2 linked regions of the Mytilus edulis genome follow. The protein of the gene in region 1 purifies or fractionates together with the protein of each later gene. This does not show direct contact. Links are inferred from orthologs where the notes say so. Each region holds a gene or a part of one and is shown in the gene's direction. Other genes may lie near its edges.

Region 1 (8,175 bases):
TTATCTTCCACTGACTTGCCAATAAGTTTGGCTTTATCTGCCAGTTTTGTATGATACAAACCTTATCTTCAATTATGTCATCAGAAGAATACATCTGCACTGTTCAATCCAAGTCAATAGAATTAATAAGAACTTTTTGATCTAAATCCATTGTAAAATTCATAATTTGTTAATGTCAGAAGACATCTTTGCTTCTTGTCTGCATGTTCATGAAAGTTCAAATTTGAATTTGTTGATTTGTTGAGGTTGTGTAGGGTCTTGTGACAATTTGATTCCTTTGAAATGTGCCCCTAATAAATACTTTTAATTATCTAAATCTTGAATAATTGCTATAAATTATATAAAAAATATTTATTGTTTGTTTGTAGTTTATTTTTATGTCATAAGTTAGAGATATTGCAGAAGAATACATAAAAACATGTGCTCTCCTCATTGGGCCTCAAACTCTGTGTTCATTTAGGCAGCAACCATTTGATTTTCTGGGGGGGGGCTATGGTTTTTTTTTTCTGTGCAAACTTTTTTTTTCGCCTGTGGCGAAAAACAATCTATTTTTTTCGCGACAAGTCGAAAACAATTTTTTTCTTTCAATTTTAGCATTACATATAGTGGCAGCTGAGGGTGAAACAAACATTTTTTTTTCTATGAATCAAAAGCAAATTATTTTTTTCTCCAAAAACTGGAAACAAACTTTTTTTTCCAAAAAAAACCATAGCCCCCCCCCAGAAAATCAAATGGTTGCTGCCTTATGATGTCACATCCTGTACACAAAGGTTAAAGGAAAACAGATTGGCACCTGACACCTGTGATGGAAAAATTTTCTAAGTTTTTTTCCATCAAGAAAAATGACAGTCTAAATTCCATCCCTATTTCCATCAAAAAAATGTTTAAGTCCAATTTCCATCAAAATTCTTTCATTTCCATCCTATTTACCATCAGATGGAATAAGTGCCATCATATTTTCCATCAGAGGGTAAAGAATGCTGATGGAAAAAATATTCCTAATTTCCATCATCCTTTGATGGATTTTTTTGGTTTGGGATGGAATTCCATCAAGTACCATCCAATTTCCATCAATTGTTGATGGAAAATGAAGAAATTGATGGAAGATCTAGGAAAGGGTTATCTTCCACTGACTTGCCAGTAAGTTTGGCTTTATCTGCCACAGTTTTGTATGATACAAACCTTATCTTCCACTGACTTGCCAATAAGTTTGGCTTTATCTGCCACAGTTTTGTATGATACAAACCTTATCTTCCACTGACTTTGCCAATAAGTTTGTGCTTTATCTGCCACAGTTGTGTATGATACAAACCTTATCTTCCACTGACTTGCCAATAAGTTTGGCTTTATCTGCCACAGTTTTGTATGATACAAACCTTATCTTCCACTGACTTGCCAATAAGTTTGGCTTTATCTGCCACAGTTGTGTATGATACAAACCTTATCTTCCACTGACTTGCCAATAAGTTTGGCTTTATCTGCCACAGTTTTGTATGATACAAACCTTATCTTTCACTGACTTGCCAATAAGTTTGGCCTTATCTGCCACAGTTTTGTATGATACAAACCTTATCTTCCACTGACTTGCTAATAAGCTTGGCTTTATCTGTCACAATTTTGTATGATATATACCTTATCTTCCACTGACTTGCCAATAAGTTTGGCTTTATCTGCCACAGTTTTGCCTGCTTCTTTACTGAAACTGTACAGGTAACCTACAACAAAACATCAAGATAAAAATTTGGATACATGTACATTGTGCATGTGTCACTAAAATTTTGAAGAATTACCAATTGCAATGTAGTGTAATGTGGTGTAGTCATGGATATAAAGGAGACATGCACAGTTAAAATGTATACACATCTATTATAAATACAAATGTAAGTACAGTGTAAAAGTAACAGACAATAAAAATATCTGGCAGATAGATTGTTTTCTGCTCTTTGGTCAGGTTGTTGTATCTTTGACACACTCCTGGAAGTAGGACAAATTGCCCCACAGGCAAATCGCTTCACTTGTGTGCCTGTGGGGCGATTTGTCATGGAATCATACTAATTTTTTATATTTTAATTTTATGATAAACTTTTTTTAAACACAAATTGAAATCATATGATATACATGTATTTGAAGACTTGAAGTATTATTGTTACATGGTTACAATCATGACAATGGTTAAAAATGCCACTTTGAAAAGTTTTACCAAAGGTTCAATGTCTTAAAAAGTTGTGAAATTTCAGAACATATCTGTTTTGGAATAAATAGCAACAATGTGAGTAGAAAATGTGGATGGCCACAAAGAAAAAGTGATTATTGCAGGAGTCAATAGTTTAAATGTCGCTCATTATCAGGTCAAGTGTCCAAAATAGTGATAATACTATTCATAAGGGGACGAAGTCCCCTATAACAGTAGAAAATTTTTTTTTTTTTTTTTAAATTGGAAAATTACTTGAAATTTTTCATTGTATTAATGAACTCCAAATCGTTAACTTTTTTTTAATTCCTGCATTTGCGCAGAAATCTACTTCCTTCTTCCGGTCTTGTTTGTCACGAGACTTGGAGTGAAATAAATTGTATATATTTAGAGTCAGTCCAGTAAAATATAGGAAGGAACACAATAACAATTTCATTTTTAATTATTCTTTGATCATGTTCATGATGTTGATATGAAAAAAAAGTAACCTGATGTCAGCGTTTCTTTGTTTACATTGAATATGACGTCATTACTTAAATAATGGCTTTCGCGTCGATCCGGCCCCACGTCGATCCGGCCCAAGTCGATCCGTCCCACGTCGATCCGGCCCCACGTCGATCCGGCCCAAATGTAAAGTCGATCCGGCCCCAATAAAAAAATATATTTATAAGGAATAAAAATAAAGATATATATTAAAGTAATTCATAAATGTTTATGATTTTTATTATAATGTTAAAGGTGTACGGTAAAAAAAAATTAAAAAATATTTTCTTCAGATGAGTATAAAACAACTAGGTTGATTATGTTTTTATTACAAGTTTTCAAGATTATTGGGTATAATTATATTACAACAATTCAGACATCAACATTAATCAGCAGTAATTAGCGTTTTCTTTCAATTGACTGTGATCCTAACAAGTCTTTCATCTTGTGTAATAACAAATAGTTACATACACAACGGTACAAGCCGATCCCCAAGCTGATACATACAAACTTTGTTTTTCTTTTAAGTTCTTAAAATTTCTTAAATTGAGAAATGTTGTTTGATTTGCCGAATCCTATCTATAAAAGAGAAGACATAAATTTATGAAAAATAGATCGATATAGGAAGATGTGGTGTGATTGCCAATGAGAAAACTCTCCATCCAAATAACAGTTTATAGAATCCTGTGATGCTACCTGAAAAAAATACAATTTATAATTATTATATACACCAACCTAAACCAGAAGATCAATTAATCAGGATTTGATTTAATTAAGTGATTACAAGTGGCATTACCTTAGTTCACAATCATCAGACAATTGTTGAATAAACAAACCAATTATAGACTAATGATTTGATTAATCAAGTCATTATGATGAGTTAAATTTAATAGGTTCCAGTGGACTGTAAATATTTATTTAGATATTCTGTGTATGAACAAAAAGAAAATGAAATCGCCATGAGTTAAAAGTTAAAGTTATCATGGAAAATAACTTCATATTTTAAAATATGTTGAAGCTGCTATACAACCAACGACACAATAACAATCATTTTCGTATCGATTTAAAATAGTTCTTTAACTGGTACTCCAATACTTCACTTGCCTGTTGTCATCCATTATCGGACACTTTTTGCAAATTCCATTTATACTGTGTCACAAATTCCTCCAAGAATATATATATATAGTTATTTCTTATTTTATTATGGGGCCGGATCGACTTGGGGCCGGATCGACGTGGGCCGGATCGACTTGGGCCGGATCGACTTTGGGCCGGATTGACTTGGGGCCGGATCGGTTTGGGGCCGGAACGACCGGATACCAAATAATGTCACAAGACTCACAACTAAAATCCCTAACAAAAGAACCTAAATCGGAATCGTTAAGGTATTTCAGATTCTTTGTTTAAGTAAAAATACATGTATGTTTGAATAAAAATAAAAAAAATATATAGACTTCGTCCCCTTTCACAGAGAATGCCTGCCTCATACTAAAAAAGCTTAAAATTGGTGTTTATGTAGAGATTATTTTTGTATTCTTGTTATATAATTTTCCCTAGGCTAAGGCAAGTAAGTCCTAAGGTTTCAAATCATAATAAAACAAGTATAATAAATTGTCATACTTCCCCATTCTTTAGCAGCATTCAATGCTTTAGAAGATACATCCTCTAGTTTATGTTTAGCTGCATCCAAAGAAATGTCGATATCGCCATCTCCTTCTTCTTTGTTTTCTGGTTCTTTTTTATCTGGGTCTGATGTCAACTTTTCTTTCTCACTCTCAGAATCAGGGTTCTTTTCATTGTTTTCATTTTTGCCTTTGTTTTCTTTGTTTTCTTCGTCAGATTCAGCTTCCCTCTCTTGGCTCATTCCCAACCAATTTGTCATAGAACTAAACATTTTTGTTTTTGTTATTTCATTCACAGCTGACGGAATTATCGATTTTCAATGTTTACAACAAGGCGGAAATGATGTCATCCGTATACAAAAAAATAAGTACTGTTAATTTTCGAGTCCAAATCGATGTCATTTACAACGCATTTCTCTCCTAAATTTCGTGATCTAGATGAAGATGTGATAATGATAAATGTGTTTGTTATAACAACTTAATATATTGACCGAAGTAAAGTTTTGACTTCAACATAAAAGTTATGGAGATAGTAGCAAGAAGGTCAGATCAAAGTATTTAACTTAGCTTTCAACGACCTTGACACTTCAATGAAAATAACAAGTCTGAATCATTCATTTGTTTTTCAGAAGCAAGTTTCTGTGTATATTGACAAGAAAACAAATCACCATATAAAAACATTACAAAGCATGGCAACATTTTTTGGAGAAGTGCTCCCAGTAGTTTCTAGAGCAGTCGAGGAAGACGATGACAACGACAGCGAATCCGAATGTTTTGAAAGGTTTTATTCAGATAGTTGGAAATTCTTGTCTGTTACTAACTATCGGAAGCGGACCAACTCGCCCCGTTGAAAACCGCCCTCACAAAATCGCCCCACTTTTTCTCAAACATTTCCAACTCATTTTTTTTTTGTATTTTCTAAACAATTACATGACAAAAGCATAATTAATTCTTTATATATCATAGAAATGATGATTAACAATTAACAAATGATCAGGGGATCATGATTATCGTCGTGTCATATGTTTTCGTATCAACCACATTTCGTTGGTTTCGACTGCATACACGTACATTGTGGCGTGTTTTTCTGTTTCTTTATTTAGAACACTAACACCACTACAACTTGACAATTTTAAAACATTCAACGTCGCTTTTTAAAGACGTTAGAACAAATTTAATAAAACTGACCTATTTAGCCATTTTTATTTAATGTCAAAAATATGCATCACTAGAATAGTTGTGGAAAAAATATCTGAAAGATTAGAATAAAGGCCAGATAGGTTTTTTGCCTTTCAGACATCTGATCTTCAAGACATGTGACTGTCATCAGTCAGGGGACTTACTTAAATAAGTGATTTTCTAAATCACTGATTTAAGTAACATTATTTCCATAAAGGTTGGAAGTTAGAGTTGTCTTTCTTTAATAATCACCTAATTAAGTAGTACAAATTAATAACTAGAAGAAGTGATTTAATTTTACTGTAGCTTTAAATATAGAATACTAATGATCCAGGGACTAATTATGTTTCTAAACTTATCAGAACCAACATCTGTGTTGTCTAGGATGACCAGGTCATTTCAGGTGATGACCTTGTACTGAATCTAGGATAATGACATAAAAATCACTTGTTTAAGTATCAGACCTCAATTTCCTTCCCAAAAATCACTTCTTTAAGTATCATTCTTTTAATAATCCCTACTAATTTCAACACCCCCGAACAGTGAGATTTTTATCGCGAACAGTAGAATTTTATTACATAATCTGAAAGATGAAACCTTGAACTTCACAGGAAAAATACTCTCACTGCTGGGAAAAATCTTTTAAGAAAGTATCAGTTCATTATGTAAAGCCATTATTATAGCATTTTTTCAACTAAAATAGAATTTTCAGCTAAATGATAGCATCAAAGGCAGAAACCTTTCTACTTAAAAGAAGCAAAAAGTTTTTTTTTTTTTTAATTTTACTAATTAAAAGATATTATTTAAACCTATGAGTTTAAAATTTGGAAAAAAATACAAAATTCCAATTTGTGACAAAACCACGATTTTGCTACTCAAATAAGTGATTTAAAAATCACCTATTTCAGTAAGTCCCCTGACTGGTCATGTGTTTTTTTTTTTTGTCGTTTTAATTACAAATCAGCGAGTTAAAATTAACAGGGTTCTTAGATAAAATGGTTGTTCAAAACCTAATTATTCAATATTTTATTGACGATTCTTTTTATACATCCTTGATACATGAAAATGAATACAGTCTTAACTTTTTATCAGTTTATATTTAATCCTAGATTTTGAAAACTGCATTTTATTTTAGAAAAAATAATGTATTTTGTACAAACTATGTGCCAATCTGAAATTAATAAAAATCTAATAATTTCAGCACATGAAACACCAACCTAAAACTATTTACTAGTAATTTTTAGTACTGAAAAGTATTAAATAACTTTTTTTATGATTCAAGCGATCACCAGAACCACGACTTTAGAAAATATTAATTTTCGGATTTTATAGTCATTTCCTGTCCGTGTACTTATCCAATTTTTATTTCATACGAAAACATATGACGCCGTTTTTTTGACATACAAAAATTTCAAAGTTATTGGAAACATTAAAAAAATCGTAGTAAGCCTTGACAAAAAAACTAAGTACCTAAAATCAATCTACAGGACATGCTTTTTAAATTTAAGTAAACACCTGAATAAAAACTCACAGTGAAAACCGTAAGCAGTAAAAATTGTTATTAGTACGAAAACACATTACACGACGATATGACTAGAATAGAAACATGTTTTATGGCCCTGTCGTAGCAGAGAGGCATTGAGTTATACCCTTGTACATGATGTACGTCCACACTTACGGTACGTCCCAAAGTTGGTTTATCTCAACCAAATGTTTTGACACTTACACAATGCAATGCATGATACCACAAAATACAGATCGAGTTTGAATTTTAGTGGTGTCACTTTTACCATTCTAGAGTTATGCCCCTTTACAAATAGAAAAATTGCTGATTTTTTTGTTTCCGTTCTCTTTCTTTAATGTACCTCAACCAAATGTTATGAAACTTATACATGTTATACACAATGCTTATTACTGCAAAACACAGATCAAATTTGAAGTTTGGTAGCATCACTTTGAGTATTCTAGAGTTATGCCCCTTTAGTAATGGAAATATTGCCAAATTTTTCATAAACATTCTCTAACTTAAGTTTTCCTCAACTAAATGGTATGAAAGGTACATACAATGTTTATTACCACAAAACCCTGATCAAGTCCCAATTATGGTCACTTTAGCAGTTATTGTGTTATATCCCTATTTAAAATTATATGTGACCCATGGACACATTATTCATGTTATTCATTTATTTAAATATTAGGCTGGTCAAAGCAACAATCTTCTTCACTTTAAAATATTTCTTATAAACTATCATAATTAACATGATTAATGTTTTTGGTATAACTTACTTTTTTTTTTATCAATTTCAATATTTTCTTAACAGTCATCAACTGATCTATATAAAAAAAAATTCCAAGTAAAAATAAATGTATGATATAAAGGTATTTTACCATTTGTTTCTTAACACATATGTTCTTAAAAACAAAGGGGCTTCCGTGGCTGAGTGGTCTAAGTAGTTACTACTGTAATCATTAGCCAGTGAACACTGTGGTTGTGAATTCGAACCCCGAATGTGCTGGTGCACTTGACTCCCAATCTTATTTGACTAGGATTGTCAGTTTTCCTATCAAAGGTCAGTGGTTTTCTCTGGTCACTCTGGCTTCCTCCACCAATAAAAACTGGCCGCCACGAAATAGCCTAAATGCGGAGCTATTAGTGCTGTTAAAACACCAGAAATCAAATCAAATCTTAAAAACAAATAT
Region 2 (8,589 bases), on another chromosome or scaffold:
ATTGTCAGATACCCTTGTACAATGTTGTACAATCAGCCAATTGTCAGATACCCTTGTCCAATGTTGTACAATCAGCTAATTGTCAGATACCCTTGTCCAATGTTGTACAATCAGCCAATTGTCAGATACCCTTGTCCAATGTTGTACAATCAGCCAATTGTCAGATACCCTTGTCCAATGTTGTACAATCAGCCAATTGTCAGATACCCTTGTTCAATGTTGTACTGTCAGATACCCTTGTTCAATGTTGTACAATCAGCCAATTGTCAGATACCCTTGTTCAATGTTGTACAATCAGCCAATTGTCAGATACCCTTGTACAATGTTGTACAATCAGCCAATTGTCAGATATATATAATTTTATTTGCCTCCTATTGGAGAGTATGAAACAAAGCAAAGACAATTACAATTAATCATATACAAACAACACGAGTTATGATTTACACAGAGACAGTCAATAAAGACGAGATCACAACGAAAAGTTCAATTATTTACATAGAACAGGCTATTATTTAAACTTGGAATTATTTTTAATTATGGAATTTGTTAAATTTTCTGTGCTGGAAATTTTTAATAAATTCCATGTTTATTTGGTATAATTTTGTTTTGAGCAGTTCATAACACTTTCCATATAATGTATTTTGTATAGATAGTGTTGTGCGCGGCACAGTACATTCTATTGAAAATGTACTATCTTCTTTGTAAATGAAAGTGTTGTGCGCAGCACAGACCATTGAAGTACAGAATAAGCAAGGAATTTACTAGAAATTTCAAGCACAAGAAATTATAAAATTTCCATAATTAATAATAATTCCAAGTTTAAATAATAGCCTGTTATATGTTCATTACAGTTTGAAGATAGTTTATGTACTTCTAGCAGCAGTTGCGGTTCTGTAACAATTTACAAGAATTGTAGATAAAGTTCATACACGTGAAGTTAAACTGTTCACGTTCTTTATTCTGTAGATCAAAATCGGTGTCACAGGCAAGAATACAATTAAGCAATTTATTGTCAGTCATATTTCCTAAGTGAACACTAAATGAAATCGGGTTTATGTCTATAACACTCCTCCAAAATTGATCTCGAGCATCAACTGTATAGTCACATGATAGTATCGCATGAGTACAAGGATCATCAAAAAGTTTACCACATTTATCGCACAGTATTCTGTTGTTTTGTAAGTTCTCGCGTATAAGACAGCACGTTGATGTTACAAAATGGGCCTGTCTGCGCATCAGTGGGTGACGCAGTGCTACTCTCCACGCCGCATGCGGTACACAAAACGAGTGAATGTCTTTGAAAACAACAAAATCAGGATCCACTGCCATACGATGATGCCACTTTACTACCTCAACCTGGTAAATTGACGTCTTGACTACCGATTTCCAAATTGCCGAACTTGGGAATTGTCCATCATTGAGAAACTGATCTAGATATTTCGATAAACCATATTTTGTGAGTATTTTAATAATGTCACAAGCGAAACCTGATCTTGTGTCATATTGATTATATCTAGCATCAATGAGTCTACGGAGAAGAATACGGAATGAGACAGCTGAGTATGGAAGGCGACATGTTCTTCCAAAAAACAACAGTTTTCGTTCACATATAAAACTTTCAATTGAAAGCCATCCTAATAATGACACACACATGTCGCTTCTTGTTCTTCTTGGTAAACCTTGTATAAATTTACAAATATAGTGGTGAGTTCTTTCAAGCATCAGTATTTCAGTGCAGGTAAGTTTTCCCCTGAGTTCACAACCGTATAGTGCTTTCGGATAGCAGAGCTGACGTATAATCTTTGCACATTAATTGGATTTACAATGGCTGGGTGTATTCCAAGGCGTATAACTGATGTCGTTGTCAAGCGCAAGGTGCGACAAGCTTTAAGAGTTCTGTCCATTGTTTTTAAAGATGTATCTAGTTGAATACCAATATGTCGAGCAGAAGTTACATAGTACATCAGCCAATTGTCAGATACCCTTGTCCAATGTTGTACAATCAGCCAATTGTCAGATACCCTTGTCCAATGTTGTACAATCAGCCAATTGTCAGATACCCTTGTCCAATGTTGTACAATCAGCCAATTGTCAGATACCTGTACAATGTTGTACAATCAGCCAATTGTCAGATACCCTTGTACAATCATACAGAATAGATTGGTGTTAAGCATGTCTGTCAGAAAAGTCATGTACATGTACAGAAACTAGCAAAAACAGACCATGTTCTTAATTTGACTGTTGGTAACTCACACATTAGAGATGTTAATTGCGAAAAGCTCCTTGGGGTTTTTATTGATGAAAATCTTGAGTGGACAGCCCAAATTGACACTTTGTGCACAAAAATCAGTACCAGACTAAATCTTTTGTCTAGGATAAAGAAATCCCTCCCCCTAGAAACACGAAAGTTATACTTTAATGGTTATATTCTCCCTATTTTGGATTACTGTTGTACAATTTGAGGAAACACCAGTGACCAAAATACAAATAGATTAGATAAACTTCAAAAATGAGCAGCTAGAATTATTCTTGAACTTCCTTATGATACCCCATCAAATACAATGTTTAAAAAGTTATCATGGCTTCGATTTACTGATCGTGTAATTTACCACAAGGCCTTATATGTTCATAGATGTTTATATGGATCTGTCCCAGAATATTTGTCTAACAAAATCTCCTATGTTACAAATAAAAATGGAATGCAACTTAGATCAAATACTACCCAATTACTTAATATACCAAAGGCAAGAACAAACACATATATAGAAGATCTTTTTCATATTCTGGCCCAACTTTATGGAATAAACTACCAGAAGCACTAAGACATATGTCAAACATAAATACTTTTAAAACAAACTGGTTTAAGTTTTTACTTGAAAATCCAGGAATTATTTAAATGACTATGTATCAATTTTGATTTATGTTTTCTTATGTTTATCTTTGTTATGAAGAAATTGTGTGAATTGCATTGTGAGTGGAGTGTGAGGGCCTCAAGGGAGAATAGTGTTTGTACTAATTGAGCATACCCTCTTGAAATAAAGATTATTATTATTATTATCATGTACTTTGTATGTGGTTGTAATGTAAAGTTCAATAGGTTTTATAATTCTCTGTGGTTCTACGTGGTCTCATGATCAGTATTAGGCAAAAGATGTGTATGTACATGTATCTATATACATGTATATATACATGTATGTAAAAAAAATAAATCATGTGATATATACATTGTTCATGTATAGGTAAATATACACTTGGAGAAGACATTTCTTACTTGAAAAAATTGTGTCTAATTGGTTTGTCCTTATACATGTATATATTGAACAATAAAATATGTAAACTATAATTGTTTTACATGGTTAAATTTCACTTTTAAACTGGACATTTAAAAAGATACTCTTTGTGAAATACATGTACATGTACACAAATGTATGTATATTTCTCAGGTTTACGATGATTTTGGTTAGACCTACTGTGGCTAAAGGCACACAATGTAGTGTAAACTTGTATATATATATCATGTATATTACAGATACAAAAATAAGAGAGATATGGGGTATTTATCAGTGTTTATGGAATTGATTAAAGTTACAACTTTGACAAAATTAACTAGACTAGGATTCAACTAACTATCAGAGACATATAATACAATGTCTCCCCAACTATATAGCAGACACGTGCTAATACTGTACATGTATGTACAAAAGTGTATGTCAAGCTCTTACAATGAGTGTACATGTACATGTATGTCTAGACAAATTGTGAATGAAATTACGAAATTAAAGACTTAAGACCTACAATCAATATAACAGTTTCTATGGGCAAAAGTCACTTGGATACATTGGGGTATGTACAATGTATGTGTCTTATTCTAATAATAGTAATCTCTATAAACCAGCCTTGCATAGGAAAACTATCCTCTTGTTAGCCTGCAGCCAGAGGGAACACATTTTATTTCATGACTTGTAAAATAAAAACACATTTATACATGTATGTCTGCTACATTTTTTTTGTTTGTGTACATTTATTTTATTCTAAACATGACTTCAGAAAGAAATTTTGAAAAAGGATGCTGGCATTCAATGAAAAGCATGCACTTTAAATAGTGACTTACATTTATATTAAAGGCTAAGTGTTTCCATTTAGCTTTGTCTTTAGATATATAAAATGTATGCATGTAAAATGTAGATACATGTATAAGAAGATGTGGTATGAGTGCCAATTATACAACTCTGCATCATCATGATCATTGTCCATTTAAGTCACAATTTATATTTAAAGTACTGTAAACCATTGAAGGTCAAAGTTCAGTCTTCAACATGGAGCCTTGGCTCACACCATACAGCAAGCTACAAAAAAAAATGTATAAAGGGCCCCAAAAATGACCAGTATAAATTAACCATTCAAACAGGATAACTGCCAGTCTAATCTATAAAAAAAAACAAGAAACAATTTAATGTCAAGTTGCACAATATATATGAACCACAACAACAAAAGACAACCACTGAACATCAGTTTTCTGACTTAGGGACAGTTGCAAACACATGCAGTATGTTTAAACGTTTTAATAGGTACATGTACATTTGTACCAACCTTCACCCTTACCTGAAACAATATTGTAACATCACAACATAAAAAGACATACATTGCACATGCACTTGGTGAAATAACTTATTGTTAAACTTACGATTCTGAAAGGTATCTACTGATATTATCCAAAAAATCACGAAACAGCATACATGTTTTGAATGTGTATAATCCATTTTCAGGTAAAAAAAATGTTCAGGTGCTTTAAACTTTTTCTGAAGCAGTTAAGAGCTAATTTCCATATCCATGAACATATAATCAAAAGATAATGTACAATTTATATTTAAATACACACTTATTCCATATCTAAAAACGTAAAAATCAGACTTAGTGTGATTTATGTGTCATTTTCACTTTCTATTTATCAACGTTTTTCTCATCAAGCATATCAAAGGAGTTCCTTTTGGCTAATCCAATTATCTCCCCAAAATCAGAAAAAAACTCAGTTGATAATTATTCCCACAAACTATTACAGAAAGCGTAAAAATATTCAACTGAATCTACCAAAACCGCTTTGATGTGTAGTTTAAGGGTATGTAGTTTAAGGGTAGTATTAACAATGTTTGAAGAAAAATACAAATTTAAAAGCTCGCAGGAGGTAAAAGTATCAGCCTCTGAGTAAAGGGGTTCCCCGTTCCCGGAGTCTTCGGACTTTTTCATGTTTGAGTACGATAAATCTCGTAACTGGGGAAAGCCCACTTAATGCGCAAGATAGGAAGTTTAATTTACCAACATGGCGAACTTGGTAAGAAACCTGACTTGCAATTTTGATTGAAATGATTTCAAAGCGGCTTGCGCTTATAAATGCTGTTTTAATTAATGAGTATAGTCAATTTTATTGTTTCCTGACTCTGAAAACAACACAAATTATTTTCACTTGCACCCAAGTAGTTGTTTCCCGTGTTAAATGCGAATAAAATTATTTTGATGACCCTTTCTTTTGAAGCTTCAAGTCTTTTGAGACGTTTCGGCCACACAACCAGTTCGACCACATGTAGTTTCTTTCACAGGACTAGTTCGACCACAGTTGTAAAGGCAAAAGTCGGTGTGCCAACATTTGATCTATTTATCTATCTACATGTATCTTCATATTTCCACACTCAGTGGATTGTTATCCTATGTACATGATGTATATTAAAGTTAAGAAGATGAAACTAAAGGCTAAAGCAAACTTTATTGCATATAATTTATTTGTTTCAGTCTGCAGACTACACGTGGTACCTCGAATGACCGAAAAACACTGTTAATTTCAAAATACTTGTAATGACAGAATAACACTTTTTAATATTAGCACATATTGGTGACTTTTAAATATTGATTATTAAATAAAAGTATATTATCGATGTATTTTATGACTTATAAATGATTTACAGCTGAAAGCAGATAAGTTCATTAAAAACTTTTAAAATTATGACGACCACGGACATCACAATGGACACCATGTTCTCTGTACACATTAAATTTAAAATGATCTTTATGAACTTATCTGCTTTCTGAAAAACATTTTTGTGTTATAAGATACATCGATAATATACTATTATTTAATAATCAATGTTTAAAAGTCACCAATATGAACTAATATTAAAATTTCAAGTGTTATTCGGTCATTACAAGTGTTATTCGGATAATAACAGTGCTATTCGGTGATTCGTGTTACCTGACTACAAGTATAGCACATTATATATCTTTTAATTGGAACTTCACAATAGTGTGTCTTCCATTAATTATTCAGAGACTAGACAGAAACTCATACATGAGATATACTTTAACACGGGATCGTTACATATTGATTTGGCCAGCTTCCATTGTCAGACATGCAGAAACTGGACATGAGTTATTTGAATGTTCATACAAATGAAATTTATTTTTCAATGTCAAAACTTACCAAGACTAGGAAGACTGGTTCACAACTATAACATTTAGTTCATTCCCTGAGAATCTTAAAGTTGTTCAATGTATCTTAAGACTACATTTGTACATTGATAAAACAGTGAGCCTTCCTTCTAATGATTGTTATCAACTGCCCATTAGTTTTATTAAACCTCACAAACCTGTCATATCATGCACAATTCAATTGCCTATTGGTTAAAACGTATACAAGAATCTGCAGGCGTAGATACTGATATTTTCAAACAACATTCAACTCGGGTGCCAGTTCACTAAAACAAACAAGTTTGGAACCTAGACTTTGTTTTTGCTTAAATTAAAATTATAGAAATCCTTGATATAAGTAAATATTTGTACTCACATTTAACATACAATATTGTTATACCACTGCCAAAAAAATATGCAATCATATATTGGTATCACGTCGTTGTCGTCAGCGTTGTCTTTGTCTGAAGACATTTGGTTTCAGGACAATAACTTGAGTATAAGTAAATAGAAATCCATGAAATTTAAACACAAGGTTTATAACCACAAAAGGAAGGTTGGGATGGATTAACAGTTGATGAATTAGGGGCCTAAATACATTTTAGCATTTTTAGCTCACCTGGCCTAAAAGGCCATGTGAGCTTTTCTCATCACTTGGCGTCCGTCGTCGTCGTCGTCGTCGTCGTCGTCGTTAACAATTTTTCAAACATCTTCTCCTCTGAAACTACTGAATGGATTTGAATGAAACTTAAGATGATTGTTCCTTAGTATATCCTGCACAAAATGTGCGCTTCGATTTTTGATCCGTCAAAAAACATGGCCGCCGTTACTTAAAATAGAACATAGGGGTCAAATGCAGTTTTTGGCTTATATCTCAAAAACGAAAGCATTTAGAGCAAATCTGACAAGGGGTAAAAATGTTCATTAGGTCAAGATCTATCAGCCCTGAAATTTTCAGATGAATCAAACAAACCATTGTTGGGTTGCTGCCACTTAATTGGTAATTTTAAGGAAATTTTGCAGTTTTTGGTCATTATCTTGAATATTATTATAGATAAAGATAAACTGTAAACAGCAAAAAAGATCAGCAAAGTAAGATCTACAAATAAGTTAATTTGACCAAAATTGTCAATTGACCCCTTAAGGGGTTATTGTCCTTTAATGACAATTTTTCACAATTTGTTCATCATATTTGCTAACTTTAAAAAATCTTCTCCTCTGAAACTACTGAATGGATTTGGTTAAAACTTAGCATGATTGTTCCTTAGATTATCCTGCACAAAGTGTGTGCTTTGATTTTTGATCCGTCAAAAAACATGGCCGCCGTTACTTAAAATAGAACAGGAGTCAAATGCAGTTTTTGGCTTATATCTCAAAAACGAAAGCATTTAGAGCAAATCTGACAAGGGGTAAAAATGTTCATTAGGTCAAGATCTATCAGCCCTGAAATTTTCAGATGAATCAAACAAACCATTGTTGGGTTGCTGCCACTTAATTGGTAATTTTAAGGAAATTTTGCAGTTTTTGGTCATTTTCTTGAATATTATTATAGATAAAGATAAACTGTAAACAGCAAAAAAGATCAGCAAAGTAAGATCTACAAATAAGTTAATTTGACCAAAATTGTCAATTGACCCCTTAAGGGGTTATTGTCCTTTAATGACAATTTTTCACAATTTGTTCATCATATTTGCTTACTTTAAAAAATCTTCTCCTCTGAAACTACTGAATGGATTTGGTTAAAACTTAGCATGGTTGTTCCTTAGATTATCCCGCACAAAGTGTGTGTTTTGATTTTTGATCTGTCAAAAACATGGCCGCCGTTACTTAAAATAGAACATAGGGGTCAAATGCAGTTTTTGGCTTATATCTCAAAAACGAAAGCATTAAGAGCAAATCTGACATGGAGTAAAAATGTTCATTAGGTCAATATCTATCAGCCCTGAAATTTTCAGATGAATCAAACATCCAATTGTTGGGTTGCTGCCACTTAATTGGTAATTTTAAGGAAATTTTGCAGTTTTTGGTCATTATCTTGAATATTATTATAGATAAAGATAAACTGTAAACAGCAACTATGATCAGCAAAGTAAGATCTACAAATAAGTCAATTTGACCAAAATTGTCAATTGA

Evidence for each region.
Region 2: the proteins of proteasome assembly chaperone 1-like (region 1) and proteasome maturation protein-like purify together in Homo sapiens (affinity purification with mass spectrometry; 4 studies listed by BioGRID and IntAct, with this or other methods). This does not show direct contact. The link is inferred for Mytilus edulis from reciprocal best matches to the Homo sapiens genes PSMG1 and POMP.

The regions. Positions count from the first base shown.
Region 1 is NC_092353.1:70,413,498-70,421,672, forward strand, and holds the start of proteasome assembly chaperone 1-like, read left to right. Parts: upstream 1-4,886; coding exon 4,887-5,077; intron 5,078-8,175. Other genes in the region: synapse-associated protein 1-like, read right to left, coding at 1,633-1,715, 4,295-4,568. UniProt on the Homo sapiens protein: Chaperone protein which promotes assembly of the 20S proteasome as part of a heterodimer with PSMG2.
Region 2 is NC_092351.1:6,550,503-6,559,091, forward strand, and holds the start of proteasome maturation protein-like, read left to right. Parts: upstream 1-5,086; 5' UTR 5,087-5,101; coding exon 5,102-5,116; exon of another isoform or gene 5,117-5,317; coding exon of another isoform or gene 5,318-5,329; intron 5,330-8,589. Other genes in the region: vascular endothelial growth factor receptor 1-like, read right to left, coding at 4,685-4,760. UniProt on the Homo sapiens protein: Molecular chaperone essential for the assembly of standard proteasomes and immunoproteasomes. Degraded after completion of proteasome maturation. Mediates the association of 20S preproteasome with the endoplasmic reticulum.